Arabidopsis thaliana: one gene and its partners. The protein of the gene in region 3 purifies or fractionates together with the protein of the main gene of each other region. This does not show direct contact. Each region holds a gene or a part of one and is shown on either strand. Other genes may lie near its edges. The genes, in order: LFR, AT3G01890, CHR23 and AT1G32730.

Region 1 (5,391 bases), on a different chromosome or scaffold from region 3:
TTGATCGATACAAAATATACCGCTTGAATATCCATCAAATTAGCAGAAACAAAAAGAAAGATTCAAAGCCATCTCTTATCACTTCTATCTATACATTCATCTTTAACCACTAACTAATTTTATATCACCAATCAAACCATTTTCCAAATATATTCTTCTTATTGTTCTGATATTTTTCTACCAAATGTTTAGTGTGTGAATCAGTTAACCACTATCTTGTATGAACATAAAGAAAGAAAGATTGCAATAACTTGATTTTAGAGTTTAGTTTTGAGATGAGTTGTCTCGAAATACAGGTATGTGTGTTTAAAGCAACGGTTATATATTCTTTCAACTCCATAATATACCAAAGAAGAAGGTTACTAAAATCTTCACGAAATTCAAGTTTAGCAAAATATATGTGGAATACGCAATTAACGTTTGTAGAAATGCTCTAGTTCGCGTTGTAGAAAGTTGTTGGTCACAATTTATGGGTTAATTAGGTGGTTAATGGTTATGGTTGTTCAAAATATAATTATGTTCTACTATACGAACCGAATCCAAATAAAAATGTATAACAAGAGAAAACGTCTCCTCGTCTACAAGAAAAGACACATTGATTTTGAAGAAAGAGTAATAATAACAAAAAATGTAAAGACAAAACACTGTATTATGTGTGACTTAATTCTTGTTAGTTTATTGTATAGTATATGAATATGATTAACCAATACACTATTCTAACGTCAAAACGTGATTATTTGGGTTATTTTATTTTCAATTTGAATCACAAAATATCTCAAATTTGTTTTTAGTAAAGATCAAACAAAACACATGTCGAAGCTATGCGAGAGAAGAATCCATCTACTTTTTGTTCAACAACACTGCTTTTTTAATACATAGCAAATGATTAAAGTTTACAACACAATCAATTAATCAAACCCACTAATCTAGAGAAGACTTTTACATGCCCCAGATTCCTCTAGCTGAAGCAACTCTGCTATTAGATCTAGCAGTGAGTTCATACAAAATCCTAGCAAATGAATCAGAATACTTACCCTCTTGAAAAAGCAGCTCAGCGAAAGCATTCTCATACGCGAGTAGCAATCCTCTGTTTTGAGGCTCCGAGACAAGGTTCTCAAGGATCATTGCAGCTTTCCTACATACTTCTGGAACCGGATGCGGAGTCTTTATCACTTTCAGCAACCTATCAACCGCCCTGAAAAAGATCATAATGGTGTGTCATTGTTGCGATCTAAAAACAGTTTGATTGTATTCGATAGAGAGGGAGTATAGTTTTTGTTTACCATCTCTCACTTGCTAGCTTTAATCTGCAATCCATGTTAACTTCCACGAGATTGTAGAGTGCTCCAACAGCTGCAGCTTGTGCATCAACGGCTTGTATGCTCAAAAGATCGATTAGTCGCTTGTGTATCTGCAAGGGATAGGTCCATTGTTGGGTTTAAATACTAGTTAAAACGAGTAAGTAGCCAGAAACCATATGAAGATTATAGAAGTTAACAAACCTGCGGAATTAAAGGACTAATGAAAGGTTCATTGTCCGGATTGATTATCAAACGCCCTAGCAACTCAGCAGCAGCACAATTCCAAGCTTTGACAGAAGAATTGAGGATTCCGACCACAGCTTGAACAGCTTTCTTTTCACTATATGCACAAGAGTAATGAATGATTCACATTGGTATTTGAAACAAGTTATGGATTGTGTAACTAAGAATGCAGGGAGATACAACTTCTCACTTTATGTTGATGTATGACTGCTTAAGCGAGCTGAAAATTCGAAGATCCATCAAATGCGCTAGGTTTACAATTGTCTCTAGCGAGTTTGTGACCAGCTCTTCATCCTCTGTTAACAAAAGATTGTCTTAAGACCATAGTTCCCAATCAAGTATCAAGCAAATAAGGAAACAGAGAGAATACATTCAAGCCAATTCAAACCAATAAGAAATAAGAATCTATCAGAAGCAAATGTAAGGAATTATAACTAGTAAAAGAAACAAAAAGGTTGGGATTGTATGTATCAAAACATTAGTATTCTTCCTTACCGGTCATATGATCGTGTATGCACTGGAAAACAGTTTCTAAGCAATGGCGATGCTGAGCCATTACAACTTCATTATCAGGCATGAAGGAGAAGTTGCGGATAACGTTCGATGCAGCAATAGCACACATTTGTTTCTCTGATCTCCCTTCATCGTCTAGATTAAACAAACCATCCTCTTCCATCCACCACTGAGATGACTGATGTTTACCAGTGCTCTTTTTTCCTAATGCCTCAGCAGCAGAAGAACCAATCCCGGATCTGCTAGGCCAAATATTAACAACACTTAGGTTCTAATTCTAAATATAAGCAACAATCATTTAAAACTGTAATCAAAGCAGTATCGAAATTAGCTCACCCAGGGGGTTGAATAGAGGCTAGAGCATCATACTCATTGCCAAATCCCGTAACTGAAGCATTTGTACCTAAAGTTCTAACTCTAGTTCCTCTTGTCAGGTCCTTTGGGAGAGCTATGTCACGCCAATCATCTATCTGCCAAAGTTTTAGCATCATGTTGGTTCAAAGAACAGAGAGGAAAACACAATCCCAACACCTAAACAATTAAATAAACTCACAATTAAGAGAAGGGCATCAAGCAAGCCAGCTATCTTAGCAAGAGGCATGACATCTCTTCGAATATCTTCTTTTTCCTTGAAGGAAAGCAACGTAAGTGTGTTCAATGCCCATGTCACCTCACTCTTCAAACCACTCTGCAACGCAAGAACTATTCTTCTATTGTTCTGCTCTATAAATTCCAATGATCCCAATGAAAATTACCGATTAAAAACTCGTTCACAAGAAGAAAACAGAGAGGAATTATAGAGTGGTCATTGCGAGCTTACCGACGAAGGAATTGTGAACTAGAAGAGAAGGACCAAGTAAAGCTGACGGTGACATCGCGTCCGCTGCTGCCGCCGCTGCAGCAGCAGCAGCTGAGTTAGCACTTGTACTACCGAAGGGACGGCCTCTCTTCGCTGGTGGACCCGAAGATCCACCGGAATTACCGCCGGATTTCCCAAGCTCCCGTTTCTGCATCTCTCTCTAATTTGGGGCTAAAGTTAGGGTTCGGAAATTTTGACCCGAAAGATTTATTCCGGTTTAAAAGTCCCAAGACGATTTAAAAATTAAAATTGTTTAAAGAGCACTAAACACTTTTTGTGAGTCAGAGGGTTTCGGTACAATTGAAATTAAAAACGTTTTAGACCGGTTTATTCCGGTTGAAGAGTCCGAGACTATAATTAAAATTGTTAAAAGAGAGCACTAAACCGTCTCTCTGGTTTACAGGGTTCCGGTTTAATTAAAATCAAAAACGTTCACGTCTTCTTGTATATGTTTATACAGACAAACTTGCAGAGGGAAATCGCCAAACCCTGCGCCGCCGTTGTTTCGCCGCCGAAGCAAGTTTCGCACCATTCTTCTTCAAACGTCTGAGCTCCATCAACTGATTAAGGTGATTTTTTTACATATCACTCAATTTTTGAATCGAACTTTTTAAAATATTATGGAATCTTCAAAGAGCATCTCTCTCGTTTTTATCTCTCTTTGATTCTTACGAGACGTGCACAACTCTGTGGATTCGATTCAAAAATTCGTGAGCTCTCACACAAGGTTTTAGGATTTGGATTATGTTTTGTTGAAGTTTTCTCTACTAATTTGAATCGCATCGATTCTGATAATGTAATCCTTGTATATATTGAATCTGCAGGTAGCTGTGTGTTTTGTAAATTGAAGAGATGGATGAATCTGAAGGTAGGAAAGTTAGGAACATATGTATACTAGCACATGTAGACCACGGTAAGACGACTCTCGCCGATCACCTAATTGCTTCTTCCGGTGGCGGTGTTCTTCACCCGAGACTTGCCGGGAAGCTTAGGTTCATGGACTATCTAGATGAAGAACAGAGACGTGCAATCACGATGAAGAGCTCTTCGATTTCTCTTAAATATAAAGACTATTCTTTGAACCTGATTGATTCTCCTGGTCATATGGATTTCTGTAGTGAAGTCTCAACAGCTGCTCGGTTAAGTGACGGTGCGTTGGTTTTGGTTGATGCTGTTGAGGGAGTTCATATTCAAACGCATGCTGTGTTGCGTCAAGCTTGGATAGAGAAGTTGACTCCTTGTTTGGTGCTTAATAAGATTGATAGGTTGATTTTTGAGTTGAGGTTGAGTCCTATGGAGGCGTATACTCGTTTGATTAGGATTGTTCATGAGGTTAACGGGATTGTGAGTGCGTATAAGTCAGAGAAGTATTTGTCGGATGTTGATTCTATACTTGCTAGTCCTTCAGGGGAGTTGTCTGCTGAGAGTCTTGAGTTGTTGGAGGATGATGAAGAAGTTACTTTTCAGCCTCAGAAAGGTAATGTAGTATTCGTGTGTGCTTTAGACGGGTGGGGTTTTGGGATTGCGGAGTTTGCTAATTTTTATGCCTCCAAGCTTGGAGCTAGTGCGACTGCGTTGCAGAAATCGTTATGGGGTCCTCGTTATTATATTCCTAAGACTAAGATGATAGTAGGGAAGAAGAATTTAAGTGCTGGAAGCAAGGCGAAACCAATGTTTGTGCAGTTTGTGCTTGAGCCTTTGTGGCAGGTTTATGAAGCTGCACTAGATCCTGGTGGGGATAAAGCCGTTCTTGAGAAAGTTATCAAATCTTTCAATTTGTCTATTCCACCACGCGAACTTCAGAACAAGGATCCAAAAAACGTGCTTCAATCGGTGATGAGCCGTTGGCTTCCTCTGTCTGATGCAGTCTTGTCTATGGCTGTGAAACATCTGCCAGACCCCATTGCAGCACAGGCATATAGAATCCCACGCTTGGTTCCAGAAAGGAAAATTATTGGTGGTGATGATGTTGATTCAAGTGTCCTGGCAGAAGCAGAGCTTGTTAGAAAATCAATCGAGGCTTGTGATTCTAGCAGTGACAGTCCTTGTGTTGTGTTTGTGTCGAAAATGTTTGCTATTCCAATGAAAATGATTCCTCAAGATGGAAATCACAGAGAGAGGATGAACGGTTTAAATGATGATGACAGTAAAAGCGAGTCAGATGAGTGCTTCCTTGCATTTGCTAGGATCTTTAGCGGGGTACTTCGGGCTGGGCAAAGAGTCTTTGTAATTACCGCCCTATATGATCCCCTCAAGGGGGAATCGTCTCACAAGTACATTCAGGAAGCAGAACTGCATTCCCTATATCTTATGATGGGGCAAGGTTTAACACCAGTAACAGAGGTGAAAGCCGGAAATGTAGTGGCCATAAGAGGGCTTGGACCATATATATCAAAAAGCGCAACACTCTCATCTACTAGAAACTGTTGGCCCTTAGCCAGCATGGAGTTTCAGGTGTCTCCCACTCTTAGAGTT
Region 2 (4,883 bases), on a different chromosome or scaffold from region 3:
CTTGGCTTCTATGCACAACCTAACAACCGACAGCTTTTTGGTTGGATTCTTGTTGCAAAAGACGTATCGGGAAGTAATTTAAGACCACCAGTCGACTACACTGAAGTTGGAAACACTACAACATTGCTTATCAAACAAGAGGGGCCTGCATATTTTTGGCAGCCCCTATGTCCTAATGGATATCATGCGGTTGGTCTATATGTCACTACTTCTCCTATGAAGCCCTCTTTGGGACAAAATTCTATAAGCTGTGTTCGATCTGATCTCACAGAACAGAGTGAAGCCGATACATGGGTATGGAGGATAAAAGATATGACTATTTCTAGTTTGAGACCGGCCACGAGAGGAGTAGAGGCGACAGGTGTGTTCACAGGGACATTCAGCTGCAAACAACTAAACTTTCTTCCTCATCCCCCTCCTTTATTCTGCTTAAAAAATACAAAATTTGACTTGTCAAGCATGCCAAGCGAAAATCAAACTAGAGTTTTGTTTAAAACGTATTCTCCTTGGATATATTTACACCCAAAAGAAGATTTCCTTCCTTCCTCTGTCAATTGGGTTTTCGCTAACGGTGCCTTGCTACACAAGAAAGGAAACGAATCCATCCCGGTCCCGATACATCCAAATGGTTCAAACCTTCCACAAGGAGGTTGCAATGATGACTTGTTTTGGTTAGATTATCTAGTCGATAAAAAGGCTAGAGAAAAGGTTAAGAGGGGAGATTTAGAGAGCACTAAGGTGTATCTACACATCAAACCAATGTTTGGAGCTACTTTCACAGATATTGTAGTATGGCTATTCTTTCCCTATAACGGAAATGCACATTTAAAATTTTTGTTTATCAAGAGCCTGTCGCTAGGAAATATTGGCGAGCATGTTGGAGACTGGGAACACGTTACATTACGCATCAGCAACTTCAATGGTGAGTTATGGCGTGTTTACTTTTCTGAACACAGTGGAGGAACTTTAGTGGATGCATGCGATCTAGAGTTCATGCAAGGTGGAAACAAACCAGTAGTATATTCGTCTCTTCATGGGCATGCAATGTTCTCCAAACCTGGAGTCGTGTTGCAAGGTGGCGGCAAAAGTGGAATAAGGAACGACATGGCAAGAAGCGACAAATGCTTTGACGCAGGTATTGGATATGAAGTGATTGCGGGACCTGGCGTGGTTGAGCCACCGTGGCTGAATTATTTTAGGAAATGGGGACCTCGAGTCCATTACAGGATTGACATATTTCTCAACTCTGTCGCAAAGATTTTGCCCATCTTTTTACGGAAAGGTTTGCGAAAACTCATCAACAAAATTCCTTTAGAAATGCGGGGTCAAGATGGTCCAACTGGTCCCAAAGTTAAGGTGACTTGGACCGGTGATGAACAATATTCTTAGTGTTTTATTGTGAATTATTGCATTATGTTATATATCAATAAGGTTTACATTTGTCGAAAATAATCATTGTAATTTCTAATTAGTAACAATAATACTATAGAATCTGTTAAGAATTAAGATGTAGATGTGCTAATTAAAAATTTTAGAGTTATTTGGGAAAAAAAAAGGTTGTCATGATCTTAGTTTTAGAGTTAAAAAATAGTATTTATCTGGAAATAAATTGGTGTAGATTATTAAGAGTTTTTTTAAAAATAATTTGGATTAGATTTAATTTGATTTTTTACCTATAGTCATGGAATTAGATTTATTGCCGAGAAGCAATATTGATCCATCTAAATATGGACCCACGAACCATGGCCGTTGGGCCTTTAACTAATGGTTGGGTTTTGACCCGGTTGAAGAATTCAGGTGGGCATTGATAGGTCCGCCGTGTCTTTTTTTTTTTTTTTTTTTCGAAGAAGAATCATCTTCATCTTCTTCTTCCAGAGGGAATTGAATTTGTTTTCTTTCTCCTGGAGTTGAGATTATACGCTTTCTGCTGTATTGAAGAAGAAGAAGTTGTGTCCTATATCTTACTATTTAGATTTGGGGGGAAATTGATTAGGGCTCTATCCTCGCGCAGCACTAAATTAGGGTTACGTTCGGCTTAGAAAGGGCAAAATTCGATAGAGTGTGTGTGTTGTGATTTTGATGAGGTTCTTCTAGCCAAAATTACTGAGTAACTACTGTCGACACCAATTTGGGATTGTATTCAATTTTTTGTGATCAGCAATGTCTGGGAATAACGAGTTGAACGCACTAAAAGGGCCTCAAAGCTCTCTGCCTTGGCCATTTGGAATGGCCTCTGCATCGTTTGCTCCCTCCCACATGGCCCCTCCTAACTTTCAACCTCAGTTTCAGCTCTCTCAAGACCAAGGGATTAGTGCTCCTGGAAGAAGGTTCCCACATAAACCTCCCATTGGAGGACCTCCTGCTGTTCCTCCTAGTATGGAGTTGACTCCAGCTTCCAGGAAAAAGAAACATAAGCTTCCAGACAAGTCCTCCTTGCAGGAGCGCGTTGCTGCCGTCTTGCCCGAGTCTGCTCTCTACACACAGCTTCTTGAGTTTGAGTCTCGGGTTGATGCCGCTCTCTTCAGAAAGAAAGTTGACATCCAAGACTCCCTTAAGAACCCTCCTTCCATTCAGAAGACCCTTAGGATCTACGTTTTCAACACCTTTTCCAACCAGATCCCTGGTCCTGACCCTCCCACATGGACTCTTAGGATTTTCGGCAGGGTCCTGGATCCTGACCACACTGGTGGATTAGTTCAGAATTCAAACCCACTTTATCCCAAGTTCTCGTCTTTCTTCAAAACGTTAAAGATATCCCTGGACCAGAGCCTGTATCCTGAGAACCATCTGATCGAATGGAAAAGGGATCGATCGCCTGCTCCTCTGGAAGGGTTTGAGATAAAGAGGATAGGGTGTCAGGAGTTTGCAGCTACTATACTGTTGGAGATGAATTACGTCCCTGAGAAGTTCAAGACTTCTCCTGCTTTGATGCAAGTTTTGGGCATTGAGGTTGACACTCGCCCAAGAATCATTGCGGCAATCTGGCATTACGTGAAAGTCAGGAAACTGCAAAACCCAAACGACCCTTCTTTCTTCAACTGTGATGCTGCTCTCCACAGTGTTTTTGGGGAAGAGAAGATGAAATTCACTATGCTCTCTCATAAGATATCTCAGCACCTATCACCTCCGCCTCCCATTCAGCTTGTACACAAGATCAAGCTTTCGGGGAACAATCCAGCCATCTCAGCATGTTACGATGTGCTTGTGGACATACCAGCACCGGTCCAAACGGAGCTTTCCAATCTGCTCGCTAATCCAGAGAAGAACAAAGAGATTGAGGCATGTGATGAAGCCATATGCGGAGCCATAAGGAAAATCCACGAGCACAGAAGGAGACGGGCGTTTTTCTTAGGGTTTAGCCAGTCACCGGTGGAATTCACCAATGCCTTGATGGAATCTCAGACCAAAGATCTGAAGCTTGTTGCAGGAGAAGCAAGTCGAAACGCTGAGAAAGAAGGCCGATCAGAGTTCTTCAATCAGCCATGGTAATAATCTCTACTGTTCTGCTTTTCATCACTTGTCTTACAATCACTGAGAATTCTCTTGCAGGGTGGAGGATGCTGCAATACGTTACTTGAACCGGAAGCCAGCAGGCGGGTAAGATGCAGATGGGCCAAGAAGTTCATGAGTTCACTACTTTTACCTAGAAGTCACTTAGGTCCAGGACACTTGATCAGTGTCGTTCCTTATAGGTTTTTTTTCTAAGTGAAACATTGTTACTCAAGTTTCAAGAGTTTTTACTTTGGTTTGTAGCTCGTGCATCATATGCGACAAAATATAAGAAAGATAAATACTTGACTTTTTCACTTTCTTTTGTAGATTCCACGTACTGACTTCCAATTGGCTCGATCTAGTCTTGTAGAATAATAATAACGTACGTATTATTATGGATAGAAAAAGACCAAGGCATTGTGCTCTCACGTTGAACTTTTAATATAGTCATCATCCCAAGATGATAACAAATGCAAAATGGGTCATTTTCAAACAAAAATATAATAACTGAGCTAATATTGGTTGAATTTTCTTCAAAACTCAAAAATTTAGTAGAGACTTTATGACTTGGATTGAAAAAAAAAAAAAAAAAGTTGAGTTGTTTACCCAAAGGAGAAAATAATTTTGGGTATGAATGATCATAGAGACGTTTTACATAAAATAAAAAGCCATGATAATTGACTTTGTTTGTATATTCAAGGGGAAAGAGAAGGATCTCTCCGATGAACGCGGACTTGCATCCCACCAGCCATGTGAGCCGTGAGCATTGGCACAAAATCCGGTTTATCCGTAGGGATCGGTTCAATCTCAAACCGGTCAAGTATGGAAGCCACAATATACTTCATCTGCACGTACGCCATCTCTTCCCCAAGACAAACCCTTGGGCCGGCTTGGAAAACCGGAAACTTGAACGGATTCACCTTTTTCAAAACTCTGCAGCAGGTTTTATCATAAGACTCAGCCCACCGGTTTGGTTTAAACTCATCCCAATCTTCCCCCCATAGCTCTTCCATTCTCCCCATACCATATGGAAAATACGTTACCCGGTCTCCGGCACGCACCAACGTACCGTCTGGTAACCGGTCATCGGTTAAGGCGTGTTTGGAGTCCCACGGCACCGGAGGATACAATCGCATCACTTCACACAAACACGCTTTCAACAAACTCAGTTTCTTCAATGATTCGTAATCAAAACCCCCCGTTATCTCCTCCTTGACCGATCGGATTTCACTAACCAGATCGTGCTCGGTTTCCTCGTGACCGGTGATCAACCAAAACAGCCGTGTGGCTACCGCCGACGTGGTGTCCCTCCCCGCCATTATGATACTTATTACCATATCTCTCACCGTCTCGTCGCTTTCTCCGGCGACGATCAACCGCGAGAGAAAGTC
Region 3 (7,706 bases):
ACCCGTGACTTCGCAATTGCTGATTACATCTTTAGAGATACCATATGAAATATCAAATGTCTTTTACAAGAAGCTGGTTTGGAGAAATATGAATAAAGCTGCTACCTTTCCTTGTTTTAGAAAGCTGTGATATTGTGTTTTTTGTTTTGTTTCACCTTTGTTTTGGAAATGATAATCTTTTAGGTGTGACACTGAGTGAAAAGGCTCCAAATTCTGAGGGTACATTGGTTGATGTGGGTTTAAGCAAGGTATCGTTACTTCCTCTCAGCTTGTTATATCTCAGTTGGCCTCCATTTTACCTGTTTGTTTTACACATTTTTTGCATGAGATTGACCTTTATTCGATGCTCGTGATGCAGAGTGTTGTTGTTGATCAAGTGCTGGGTCCAGGAATTAGAGTCACGGTAGCCATGGGAACTGACCACGATTTAGGTACTGATAATCTCTATTTTCTTTCAAGTTACCATATGCATATCTGTTTTCTTTCTTTAAATTTCTATTTAGATCATTTATATACGTTTCTCTAAGCTACCTACATCTACTTGTTGAGTTAATATATTTTGAATTTGGTTCATGTAGATTTGGTACGCCAGATTGTTCCACCCTCTAAGCCAAGGGAAGAAGCAGGAATGTATTGGGGATACAAAGTACGATATGCATCACAATTAAGTTCAGTATTCAAGGAATGCCCTTTCGAGGTAATAATAATGATACTCGTCTCCACATCCTTCTACAACTTAGATCATATTTCCTGCATAACCTTATTTCCTAATACCAAAAGCAGGGTGGTTACGATTATTTGATTGGTACCTCGGAGCACGGCCTGGTAATTAGTTCATCTGAGCTGAAAATACCAACATTTAGGTGATTCTCATTTCCCCTTAACATGGTATAAGTTTGTGTCTAAACACATTATTAGCCGTTTAAATTTGGGGGACTGACTCCAATGGTTATGGCTTGAAATCATAGGCACCTATTGATTGCATTTGGTGGACTTGCTGGGCTTGAAGAAAGTATTGAAGATGATAATCAGTATAAGGTAACCTCATATTCAGCTCTTTGTCTCTCACAGTGACTAAAAAGTTCTTAAAGATCTAAAGCTGTTTTGGTCTATACTACATGTGTTTGATATGGACACTAAGCAAAAGACTTTGTTTTACAGGGGAAAAACGTTCGAGATGTGTTTAATGTATACTTGAATACTTGTCCACATCAAGGTAGCCGAACCATTCGAGCAGAGGTATTCACAAACTTTTCTTATTAGTTGTGTTTTTTCCTTTTCTTATGTTCCGGGATGATTGAGCTGAGGACATTGTGTAATAAATATGCAGGAAGCGATGTTTATATCACTTCAGTACTTCCAGGAACCCATCAGCAGGGCAGTGAGAAGACTTTAAGCTTCGATAAAAAGAGTCAAAGAAGCTATTTTGTTCTCATAGATCTGAGGTTTGTCTGAAAAAGAGTGATGTAATGTAACTGTTTTAGAATTTGGACCAAGTGTTTATTCTTGTACTATCCCAATTTTGGGTTCTTACAATTTTCCTCCATTAGTGGCAGTGTGGCACACGAAGTGTACTCAATTTTTACACTGAGTAACAAATTTAAGAGGGGTGTATTTAATCTAGTATTTTAAGTGATTTGTGTAAAGTTCACAAATTATGTGTTATTCAATCATGGATTTTTAAAATTCTAATGAAATCTAGTGGTATTGAGCTAATGATTTAAAAATCTACCTTTAAATCTACTGTTATTGAAAACAATTTGTGAATTTCATTCTTATTAATTTTGAGAGGATTTTAGAAAATTTCTTTAGATAAAAATACAGAAATTCAAATCTCATAGTTTTAGATAGAACTTTAAAAAAGTTTTACAATAAATCACATTAACTTTTCTAAAATCATTAAAATTATATAAAAAATCTTGTTAGATCCGATACACCCTCTAATAATAATATCATTGCCAAGTATTGAAACTTACGTTTGTTATATAATGGGTATGTAGTTTACTAACAATTACGTGAAGTGGGCCGTTAATTTACAATATATTTAAAATTAAGCATAAACGCCCGGCCCAAAATAGAGAAGGGTAATATAGTAAAAGCGGAAAGAAAGGGGTTAAGACCCTCCTTATCCCTAATAGACCGGTGCGCGTGAGCGACTAAATAATCGTTCGTGATATCGATTTCTCTCCCGTCTCGTTTATCTTTCGGGGCTAAAAACTCGAAAGCAACAGCGATAGAGAGATTTGGAGAAAACAAAAATAATAAAAACGGAACGGCAACAGAAAATTAAATAATCTAATTAGAAACTCCCGCCATGGTGAAGCAGCTACAAGAGCAGGAGGAGAACGATCCCGTCGAGAAGACAAAGTCTCTGATCTCTGCTCTTAACTACCTTTCTCGCGACCTTCTCTTGCCTTCTCACCTTTACGCTTCCGTTTCTTCTATTTACCATGCCTCCGTCTCCGATCTCTCTCCTTCTCCGCCTCTTCGTGTAAGCTGTTTCTTCGATTTGCATGTTAGGATTTGTGGTTGTGAATCGAATTTTCTGGCTCTGTGCTTCTTCAACTCCTTCTCTAACCAATTCCTTGGAGTTTCCTTCTCGAATTCGATGAATCCGAATTCATTGATTTTTGTGATTTTTGGATGAAGTTATATGCTTGGATTTTGCAGGGAAATAGTTATACTCCCAATAGAGGTGATTTGATGAGCGAGTTCGAAGATGCACTTTTGCAACAGCGACTAAACTATGAATCAGGCTCTCGACTAGCCGAGTTAAAGGAAACTCGGTATAAGAATCGTATCCACAACCGATTATCTCAACTTGAAGGTGATTGCTGTTTGACTATGCTGCTTGTAATTTTTTGAAAAAGCCTATGGAGCCAATTATCCTGTGAGATGAATGCTTACTCTTGTGTTTTTTTTTAAAAAAAATCAGGATTACCTTCCAATAGAGGTGAAGATTTGCAGGAAAAATGCTTACTTGAGCTTTATGGTCTTAAGGTATGTGTGACACTAGCTGATCTTTTTTATTGTCAGACATTGTTTAAAATATGATTTCCTTGACACTGACACTGTCTCGTTTGTTTATGGCAGTTACAAGAACTACAATGCAGGGTTCGGGGTGAGGTGAGTGCGGAATACTGGCTGCGTTTGAATTGTGCAGATCCGGAGAGACAACTATATGATTGGGGCATGATGCGGTTGCCTCGCCGAATGTATGGGGTTGGAGATTCTTTTGTTATGGAAGCTGATGATCAGTTCAGGAACAAGCGTGATGCCGAGGTCATTTGCTTTCTAATCCAACGCAAAATTGCTTGCTCCCAGATTTTATATTTTTACCTATAGTGATGAAGTCTTTCTTCGAATGGAAACTGATGGCGTTTTGAGATGATAGGAACATCTCATATATGCTGATACTATTTGATGATTTTTTAAACTCTTTGTTCAGAGGTTATTACGGTTAGAAGAAGAGGAGAAGAATCTGATTGAAACGACACAGAGGAAATTCTTTGCAGAAGTACTCAATGCTGTTCGTGAATTCCAGTTGCAAATTCAGGCGTCTCATAGACGGTGTAAGCAAAGAAATGATGGTGTCCAGGTATGATATCTCTGCCCTTATGTTTTTCATTGCTCATTTTTCTTGTCATTGAACCCATGATATAATTGAGTTATGTATATCCTTAAACGTCATAAATATACAAAGTCTTACAAACAGAAATTATTGCCATCTATCTAACAGGCCTGGCATGGAAAGCAAAGGCAACGTGCCACCCGAGCTGAAAAACTAAGGATCATGGCCCTTAAATCTGATGATCAAGAGGAATACATGAAACTAGCAAAGGAAAGTAAGAACGAAAAACTAACCCTTTTTCTAGAGGAGACAAACAAAATCTTTGTTAGTTTGGGGGCTGCAGTCCAGCGTCAGAAAGATGCCAAACTTTCAGAAAACACCAAATTACTGAAAGGCTCAGAATCTGACTTATCTGATGTTGATGCTCCTGAGGATGTGCTTCCTGCCCAAGATATTGAGATCATTGACTCTGACAATAATGATGATTCTAATGACTTACTAGAAGGCGAGAGGCAGTTTAACTTGGCTATCCATTCCATACAAGAGAAGGTAACTATGATTGTTTTACAAGTATTTAATATGAGTACTGTTAAGTTTGTTTAAGTCAGCTATCAATGCTTTTTTTAACAGGTGACAAAGCAGCCATCCCTTCTACAAGGTGGGGAACTAAGATCCTATCAATTAGAAGGACTTCAATGGATGGTCTCTCTATACAACAATGACTATAATGGCATTTTAGCTGATGAAATGGGTTTAGGAAAGACTATCCAAACGATTGCACTGATTGCGTATCTTCTTGAGAGTAAAGATCTTCATGGGCCTCATCTAATATTGGCTCCAAAAGCTGTGCTACCAAATTGGGAAAATGAGTTTGCATTATGGGCACCCAGGTATGTTCCAATTTATTCTCCATTAATTACATTGATATGGAGTGTATGAACGTTGCTTCATTTTTGTCCATTTGACAGCATTTCCGCTTTTCTTTACGATGGATCAAAGGAGAAAAGAACTGAAATAAGAGCAAGAATAGCAGGAGGAAAATTTAATGTGTTGATAACCCACTACGATCTTATCATGAGAGATAAAGCATTTTTGAAGAAAATTGACTGGAACTACATGATTGTTGATGAAGGACATCGTCTGAAGAACCATGAATGTGCTCTCGCAAAGACTCTAGGAACTGGGTATGTTTCTGTATGTTACTCTGGTCTTTGAGTAGACTGTATCTAGTTTCTTAAAGATGTTTAGACATGCCTTTTTACGCATTAGCTTGATGAAGTCTGAAGTGAATGGTGTTAATTAGTTGTTACTCTGATTTATCTCTTAAAGATACTGTCACAAAGGAAATTTAAAGACATTTTGCTTACACTAATTTGTCCTGGATGCAGCTACCGGATTAAGCGCAGACTTCTATTAACTGGAACTCCCATACAGAACAGTCTGCAAGAACTATGGTCGCTGCTTAATTTTCTTCTTCCTCACATCTTTAACTCAATTCATAATTTCGAAGAATGGTTTAATACTCCATTCGCAGAATGTGGTAGTGCCAGTCTTACAGATGAAGAGGAGCTGTTGATTATTAACCGTCTGCATCATGTGGGTTTATTATGCACCTTTTTTTGGTTTAGACCCTTTTTCTTTTATAGAAAATGCGTTATGCATGATACTTGATGTTAATGTCACTTTCAGGTCATAAGGCCGTTTCTACTGAGAAGGAAAAAAAGTGAGGTTGAGAAATTCCTTCCTGGAAAGACACAAGTCATACTGAAGTGTGATATGTCGGCTTGGCAAAAATTGTATTACAAACAAGTTACAGACGTAGGCAGGGTCGGTCTTCATTCTGGTTTGTAGCTAAACTTGAACTTCCATTCTCTCCAAAATGCTTTCATCTTTCGGTAAAGAACATAAGTCAGGAAGTTAAATTGCTAATGGAGTCCTTATGTGCAGGCAATGGGAAATCAAAGAGTCTGCAGAATCTGACAATGCAATTAAGAAAGTGTTGTAACCATCCGTACCTATTCGTTGGAGCAGATTATAACATGTGTAAGAAGCCTGAGATTGTGAGAGCTTCAGGAAAATTCGAGTTACTTGATCGCCTCCTTCCAAAACTGAAGAAAGCTGGACATAGAATTCTGCTCTTTTCTCAAATGACTCGTCTCATTGACCTTCTCGAAATTTACTTGTCACTCAATGACTACATGTACCTCAGACTTGACGGTAGCACAAAGACAGACCAAAGAGGGATTTTACTGAAGCAATTCAACGAACCGGACTCTCCCTACTTTATGTTTCTTCTGAGCACACGTGCTGGTGGTCTTGGTTTGAACTTACAAACTGCAGACACTATAATTATATTTGACAGTGATTGGAATCCACAAATGGACCAGCAAGCAGAGGATCGTGCTCATCGGATAGGGCAGAAAAAGGAAGTGAGAGTTTTTGTTTTGGTTAGCATTGGATCCATTGAAGAAGTAATATTGGAGCGTGCAAAGCAAAAGATGGGCATCGATGCGAAAGTCATACAAGCAGGGCTCTTCAACACAACTTCTACTGGTAAAAAGTCTTCATATATATATATTCTTATCAACTAAAAACATGATTTGGAGACTACATGCTAATCTCTTTGAATCATCAACAGCTCAAGACAGGAGAGAGATGCTGGAAGAGATCATGAGCAAAGGAACAAGCTCACTGGGAGAAGATGTGCCAAGTGAGAGAGAGATTAACCGGCTCGCAGCTCGAACTGAGGAAGAGTTTTGGATGTTTGAACAAATGGACGAGGAAAGACGTAAAAAGGAGAACTACAAGACACGTCTCATGGAAGAGAAGGAAGTTCCCGAGTGGGCTTACACTTCAGAGACTCAAGAAGACAAGACTAACGCGAAAAACCATTTTGGTAGCCTCACGGGTAAACGGAAACGAAAAGAAGCAGTGTATAGCGACTCTTTAAGCGATTTGCAGTGGATGAAAGCGATGGAGAGTGAAGACGAAGATGCTTCCAAAGTCTCTCAGAAACGAAAGAGAACGGACACAAAGACAAGAATGAGTAATGGGTCAAAGGCAGAGGCTGTGTTGAGTGAAAGCGATGAGGAAAAAGAAGAAGAAGAAGAAGAAAGGAAGGAGGAGAGTGGGAAAGAGAGTGAAGAAGAAAATGAGAAGCCATTACATAGTTGGAAAACTAATAAGAAGAAACGGTCAAGATACCCTGTTATGACTTCTTCACCTAATTCTAGAGGTAAAGGTAGCTCAAAAGGAAGTAAACGAAACTGAGAATAAGGTTTCTACAAGTATTAGGCATTTGAGTTGGTCTACAAGTATTAAGCATCGAGCCATTTTCTCATAAATTTGTCTGTTTTTTTTATAATTCAAACCTTGTGAAAAATATATCTTTTTAGAATTCAGAGCTTAAAAAGATGAGAGGGGGAAATTGGAAAAAAAATATAGATATCGACCGTTGAATTTAATAGGGTGGTTATTAGTTCCTATTTTACAAGGAATTTTGATGATTTTAATAAAATTATAGAAAGTAAACAAATGAAATATTTTAAACTATTGCTTGCTAGAGGTTTTTTTAAAATCTTTTAGATTGGTTTTTCATAATCTTGTAGTTTTCCAACCAATCTCTCTATTTTGATGATATTTTTCATGACTTTATTTTGTAAAGAAAAATGTAAAAAAAAAACTATAAACTAATAACATAATAATTTAATTCATTAACAATCATAGATTCTTTTGTTTTAATTGAATAACACAAAACTTTTATTGACTATATAAAGTAGGAATCCAACAATTCCAGATTTATGAAGATTTTATACTACTATTTACAAATTTTAAACTAATAACACCAAACTTTAACATATTTTTAAAAAATCTTGATTAAATAACAACAGATTCTACATAACATTTTAAGTCACTAAAATTCTATTTAAATCACAAATACATAACACCCCCTAAGTTTTGTTTTTGGTAATTTGGCCTGATTTCTCAAGAATCAAGTCATTTGTTTTTCTTTCAAGTTACAAATGGACATCAAATCTTTTCTACCATCATCACAGCAACCTTTGCAAGTTTAGTTTTACAATACTTGGATCAAATACCCTAATATACTAGTATTGGTGATTTTGCAAATAGAATG
Region 4 (5,243 bases), on a different chromosome or scaffold from region 3:
CATAATCCATAAGCAATCTGGTTAAAGTTAACAAAAACACATTAGTAGCGAATCCGGAAAGATGTAAAAGAATAATTTATCAGTAAATATATTTTTTATTCTATCTGAGAAAAAAATCATTAATCATGTAGATTCTAATTTCAAATATATAATAAAGCATGCAAAATAAATAAATTAATTAAAAATTTAACTAAGAAGTTTCAGATTTAAACCCATAATCTCTTCTAAAAAATGAATAATACATATCAATTTAGTTTCTTTTTCACCAACGGTGAAATCGACATTTTTTTTTATTTTTTGGAACTTCGGATGGTACATTGATGAAGCTACCAAAACCAAGTACTAAATGTGTTACGTATTATATAACTTTTTAAAATAAATACATAATAAAAATTAATATTGAAAATGATTACACAATTATCTTACAATTAAAAATTGTTACACCAACCCTTCGTAGAAATATTAGGTGGTAACAAAAATAAATTAATGATTATTGAGAGCTTAACTTATAATGAGCTCATTTGAGTTGTTTGATCCTCAAGTCCCAACCACCAACCCATAACCCATTCAACATGTTTCCAGTTGGTTTGCATAATGTAAATGAATACTACACACACGAGACAACCACAACATGCATATATGAATAAGATATATATGGTTGAAATTGGAAACAAACTAAACGTTATTTTTACTTTTTAGTTCCACAAAAACTTTTGGATATGTTTTGATCAATAGTGGAATTGGGGCAGCAAAACAAAACTAGAATCTAAGAGTTTGGTTTTAGTCGTTTTCAAATATACGTGTTGAAAGTGGCCTATGGATGGATGGATTCATTTTTTTCCAAAAAAACAAACCGGTCTAATTAGACTGAGCGGTTATCCAATACCAAACCAAACCAACTATTTATTAAGTCAAAGGTAATCCAATGAGCAATTTCAAATCTAACAAAGCAACAACACACAGTGAAAAAAATCCAATGAGATAGAATCAACAGCTTTATCCATGGCTGAGTTCTAATATCTAAATGATGCTCAACACTACTTTACAAGAATCTCTTGAGTCTTTGGAGTCTTCAGGATCAGTTTTGAGGGATGTTTGATCATTGTACAATACCGTGGTCACGAAGGATCTAGAAATTTTCTTGCCACTCAAACTTTTCAGTTCATCCACAGGATGTTCTCGACTTCACAACATTCCAACTTTGTCAAAAGATTGGAGATTCTCAGCGATTTTTTGAAGTGCTTCTTCACTCATCTCAACTTTTCGGACTACACCCGGAAAGATCTTGTTCTTCTCGGAAGCAGCAGTGGGAGAAACTTGACCACAGAGCTTTGATTTCATCTCTAAGCAAGATTTGAGATCCTCTTCGGTTCTTGCTTTGTTCAGTTTATCGATTATTTCATTCAAAGCTGAACCTTTCTCTTCCCATTTCTTTCTTTTGACCCGCCTTTTGATATCATCTTGATCATCTGAAGAACTGCCTAAATCCAGTCTCTTAAGCTTCACCAAACCGGCTTTGACTGTCTCCGCGATCCGCTTCTTAAAGCTCTCTGTTCTTGCAGAGTTCGATCTCAGCCTCAGTTTAAGCTCTGAAACAATATTTTCCTCTTTGTTTTGCTCAGGAGCTGCTGTTCCATGACTCTCTTCATCAGGAACAGATGTAAATGAAAATGCTTCTTCGAGTAAATTCACATTACTCATGTACCGATCAAAAGCTTCATTTTCTACTTCAATGTTTCTGTCTCTGTACTCTTTTAGCTTTGTAAACCGCCACTCGTTTAAAGCTTGAGCATCCTATAGAATATAGACAGAACAAAAACTGATAAGAGGAAAACAACTAAATGGAGATTTTTCATAGAGTACTAAAGTCAATGAAAGACGTCTTAATTAGTATACCTTTATCGTCAAAGGTTTTCTCTGGCGGGAAGAAGCATTCAGGTTATTAAACTGAGCAAAGTTGCTAGAAAGTTGCCGGATTGACGAAACTCTAGTGGTACTCCTGAAACAATTTCCAAAAGAAGAAAACGTCAACATAAAGCGCCATATTTTAGTTCCACAAGACCAATATATCATCTCACTATCAACTACGTGCAATAAAACAAGAAAGCTGAAGAATCTCCTATCAAAGTATTAGTAAGCAAACACCGGTTTATCATCTAAGATTCACTTGCCCATGGAAGCACAAACAAAACAGAAAATTAGTTTATATATATGTACCCGGGAGTGCCCTCGGTTGCTTTCTGCTCTGAAGATGGAGTACTTGGCGCCTGCGTCTTCTCACCAGACGTTGAAGCTACTTTAAGAACTGCAGCGAAATAAAACACATAAGAAGAAACACAAAACAGTCCATGATAACATCTCTATATCTCTCAGCTAATCACAAGCACATTCCAAGAATCAGTCTTATGGTTCTTTATAGGTTTTTTTGTCCCGAGACAACCAAACGAACCCTATAGAAGTCAAGAATACTAAACTCTAAACTTACCAAGTGAAAGAATAGAACTCTCCAATCAAAGTTATCAACACTAAACTCTAAAACTGATCACTTTAGCTAATTATGAAGTTGAGATTTGACAGGGCAAACATACCGTGAATCGGGCAGGGATTCTCTGCTCTTGAACAACAACCCTTACAAGATTGAAAAGGGCACCTGCATTTATCAAATCCAAGCAATACAATTACAATTACTTCACCAATAATCTCAAAAAACTGATCTTTCGATACTAAAGCTCAAAACTTTAAACAATCTCCAACAGATTAATCACCAAATCATGAATAAAAACCCAAACCCACAAACCTATGAACCCTAAATCAAAACGAAAAAGTACTATACAAGACAAATTCGAATCCTTTCAGATCAAAAACCCAAGAACAATCCATAAATCGAAACCCCAGATGTAAAAAACCTAAGTCCTTCGATGAAACAATGCGTAGAAGCAATACCTGGAGCGAGCTACATTGCCGCATTGAATACACTTAGGCTTATTGAGACCACGGAGAGTTTTGGGAGGCGTGACGACGGAGGAAAGACCATTGTTACTCAGAGACGGTGACGAAGTCGCCATTGATAAAAAGTAACGGTTTAAATTAAAACCGTTATTCAACGAAAGAGATAACTAACGACCAAATAAAACTCGTGCGAGTGAGTAACAAAAAATTTGGAATCGAAAGGATTGGTTTTTATTTTTTTTTGTCGCTCTGATTTTGCGAAGTGCTCTCAATCGCTCGATTTCACGGCGGGTCTAGGGCTCCGGTTATTAATAATACCACGTGAGTCGTTTTTATATGGGCCTGGGTTTTAAAGCCCAATATAATTTCTCTTTAAATTGAACCGAACTTAACCAAATCATGAACTTTATCCGGGATCAGACTTGTCAGATAAATCAATATAAGCCCAAAAAAAGCCCAAGTAATTAGGTTATTCTATCGAATCAGATTCACATATATATAGACGTTATTGTTCATATGAACAATAGAACATCAATCTAAATAATTTAGTGTTTGCCGTTTGGGCAAATCTTTTTCTTCCTCATCTCTTCCTTCGCTTTGCTTTAGAGTCTTTTCATAAGTAAAAGAAACAAAAACAATAAATCATTCTACTAATTGACTTGTAACTCGAAGCTTTGATTTGGACGTTACAAGTGGTATCAGAGCTTCACACTAGAAGCTTCTAGATAGAAGTCAATTTGGCAGACAAAACAATGCATTTAGATTTTGGTGCATTCAACTTCAGAGTGTTTTCATATTTTTATACTACTCTATACTATTTTGCAATTGATATCGCTTTCTAACTTATTATTCTGATGCATCGATCGCTATATGATTATATTGCGTAACCTTGGCTGATTTTGCAGCTTCAATATACTTAGAGTCAATTTTGTACTTGGCTGATTTTGCAGCTTCAATATATTTAGAGTCAATTTGTATGGACTTGCAGATTTGGATGGGTTAACACATAAAAATATAGTTTATACTTTATAGACATGATTATTTAATTAATTAGTTGATTTATCATTGGTTTTAGATTTAGTAGACTATGAGGACTGTCAAGAGTCCACACGACGATCAAACTAAACAACTCTGATGATAATAGAGACTACAAAACAAAACAGAACTGAACAATTTTACAAAACAACAATTAAAAAGTATAATTTAATCGGAATAATAATATTTGCTCACCAATATATAAATTTTAATTATTCTTCTTCTTTTTATTTATTTGGTAAATATTTAACCATCCATTCATGATTTAACGATTACAATCGAGATAAATACCATTGGATAACAAAATATTACGAAAGATTTCCTCACCAATTCTTCGCGACATAGTGAACGTACATCTCTCAAGTTGTTACTTGTAAATTGCAATCATTCGCATAATCTATGTTGCATGAAAACGGAAACGGAAATGCGGATACGAAACGTTTCGGAAACGGGAAACGATTTTTTCTTAAAATTAGGGATTGGAAACGTTTTGGAAACGTATACACATTTATACATATATATAACATTATATATATATATATAACATTAACATAAAACTATATTAAAGAAAAAATGATTTAAACAATACAAGTCCAAAATATCAATATTAAATAAATAAACTAAAATTCTAAAAGATAAAAATTAAAAGGTTCAAGTTCAAATAGTTAATTTAGACCAACATTTTCATTAGTTTTATCAAAGATAATATAAAGCTCTTTTCAAATCTGGTTTAACAAAAGAAAGATCTTAAAACTCAAAGTCTTCCAAAATTATTTATATGTAATAATAATTTTAATATTTTCAATTTTAGTTATTAAATTTTTAAAGTCAATAAAAAAGATTTGTCGTATGTCTATTTCGGAAACGTGAGTTTCTATTTTGGAAACGTAAGTTTCCATCGTGTTTCTAAACCTAGATTTTTAGGAAACGCGTTTCCGTGACGTTTTTCGTATTTCCGGAGAGTTTCCGTTTCCGAAACGTTTCGGAAACGAGAAACGCACCTCGGAGCGAGTTTCCATGCAACCTAGCGCATAATCTTGCAAAAAAAAACATTAATACATAGGCCTTGGTTATTTTTTAATCCAACTTCTCTATAAATTGAACCTGAACTTAAACCAAATCAGAAATACATAAATCGGTCGGTTTGTGAGGTATTAATCCGAGATATGAGATATTTTTTCTTTTTCTTGTTAACAAATTAAAGGAGCAAGAATCGTCCTTATCAAGTAAGGACTTGATTTTCCAAAATATATTTGAAT

What was found.
Region 1: the proteins of CHR23 (region 3) and LFR fractionate together in Arabidopsis thaliana (co-fractionation; one large-scale study listed by BioGRID). This does not show direct contact.
Region 2: the proteins of CHR23 (region 3) and AT3G01890 fractionate together in Arabidopsis thaliana (co-fractionation; one large-scale study listed by BioGRID). This does not show direct contact.
Region 4: the proteins of CHR23 (region 3) and AT1G32730 fractionate together in Arabidopsis thaliana (co-fractionation; one large-scale study listed by BioGRID). This does not show direct contact.

The regions. Positions count from the first base shown.
Region 1 is NC_003074.8:8,161,694-8,167,084, reverse strand, and holds LFR (ARM repeat superfamily protein), read right to left. Parts: upstream 3,145-5,391; 5' UTR 3,071-3,144; coding exon 2,878-3,070; intron 2,781-2,877; coding exon 2,611-2,780; intron 2,528-2,610; coding exon 2,394-2,527; intron 2,297-2,393; coding exon 2,040-2,296; intron 1,841-2,039; coding exon 1,735-1,840; intron 1,642-1,734; coding exon 1,503-1,641; intron 1,412-1,502; coding exon 1,284-1,411; intron 1,196-1,283; coding exon 940-1,195; 3' UTR 735-939; downstream 1-734. Other genes in the region: AT3G22980 (Ribosomal protein S5/Elongation factor G/III/V family protein), read left to right, coding at 3,769-5,391. UniProt on the Arabidopsis thaliana protein: Involved in leaf and flower development. Plays roles in leaf development partly by associating with AS2 and repressing KNAT1/BP transcription. Required for the formation of anther cell layers and normal expression of genes that regulates anther development.
Region 2 is NC_003074.8:308,172-313,054, forward strand, and holds AT3G01890 (SWIB/MDM2 domain superfamily protein), read left to right. Parts: upstream 1-1,835; 5' UTR 1,836-2,160; coding exon 2,161-3,485; intron 3,486-3,549; coding exon 3,550-3,601; 3' UTR 3,602-3,902; downstream 3,903-4,883. Other genes in the region: AT3G01880 (vacuolar sorting-associated protein (DUF946)), read left to right, coding at 1-1,389; CYP94B2 (cytochrome P450, family 94, subfamily B, polypeptide 2), read right to left, coding at 4,188-4,883.
Region 3 is NC_003076.8:6,496,592-6,504,297, forward strand, and holds CHR23 (homeotic protein regulator), read left to right. Parts: upstream 1-2,151; 5' UTR 2,152-2,314; coding exon 2,315-2,491; intron 2,492-2,670; coding exon 2,671-2,827; intron 2,828-2,935; coding exon 2,936-3,000; intron 3,001-3,093; coding exon 3,094-3,282; intron 3,283-3,424; exon of another isoform or gene 3,425-3,448; coding exon 3,449-3,598; intron 3,599-3,739; coding exon 3,740-4,120; intron 4,121-4,201; coding exon 4,202-4,461; intron 4,462-4,539; coding exon 4,540-4,755; intron 4,756-4,959; coding exon 4,960-5,167; intron 5,168-5,260; coding exon 5,261-5,414; intron 5,415-5,518; coding exon 5,519-6,124; intron 6,125-6,209; coding exon 6,210-6,841; 3' UTR 6,842-7,101; downstream 7,102-7,706. Other genes in the region: AT5G19300 (methyltransferase C9orf114 protein), read left to right, coding at 184-248, 359-431, 579-697, 784-863, 969-1,038, 1,162-1,239, 1,331-1,396. UniProt on the Arabidopsis thaliana protein: Probable chromatin-remodeling factor that is functionally redundant with CHR12 in root and shoot stem cell initiation and root apical meristem (RAM) and shoot apical meristem (SAM) maintenance. Can associate with the promoter region of WOX5.
Region 4 is NC_003070.9:11,838,899-11,844,141, reverse strand, and holds AT1G32730 (electron carrier/iron ion-binding protein), read right to left. Parts: upstream 3,233-5,243; 5' UTR 3,066-3,232; coding exon 2,944-3,065; intron 2,651-2,943; coding exon 2,589-2,650; intron 2,306-2,588; coding exon 2,218-2,305; intron 2,000-2,217; coding exon 1,897-1,999; intron 1,795-1,896; coding exon 1,186-1,794; 3' UTR 834-1,185; downstream 1-833.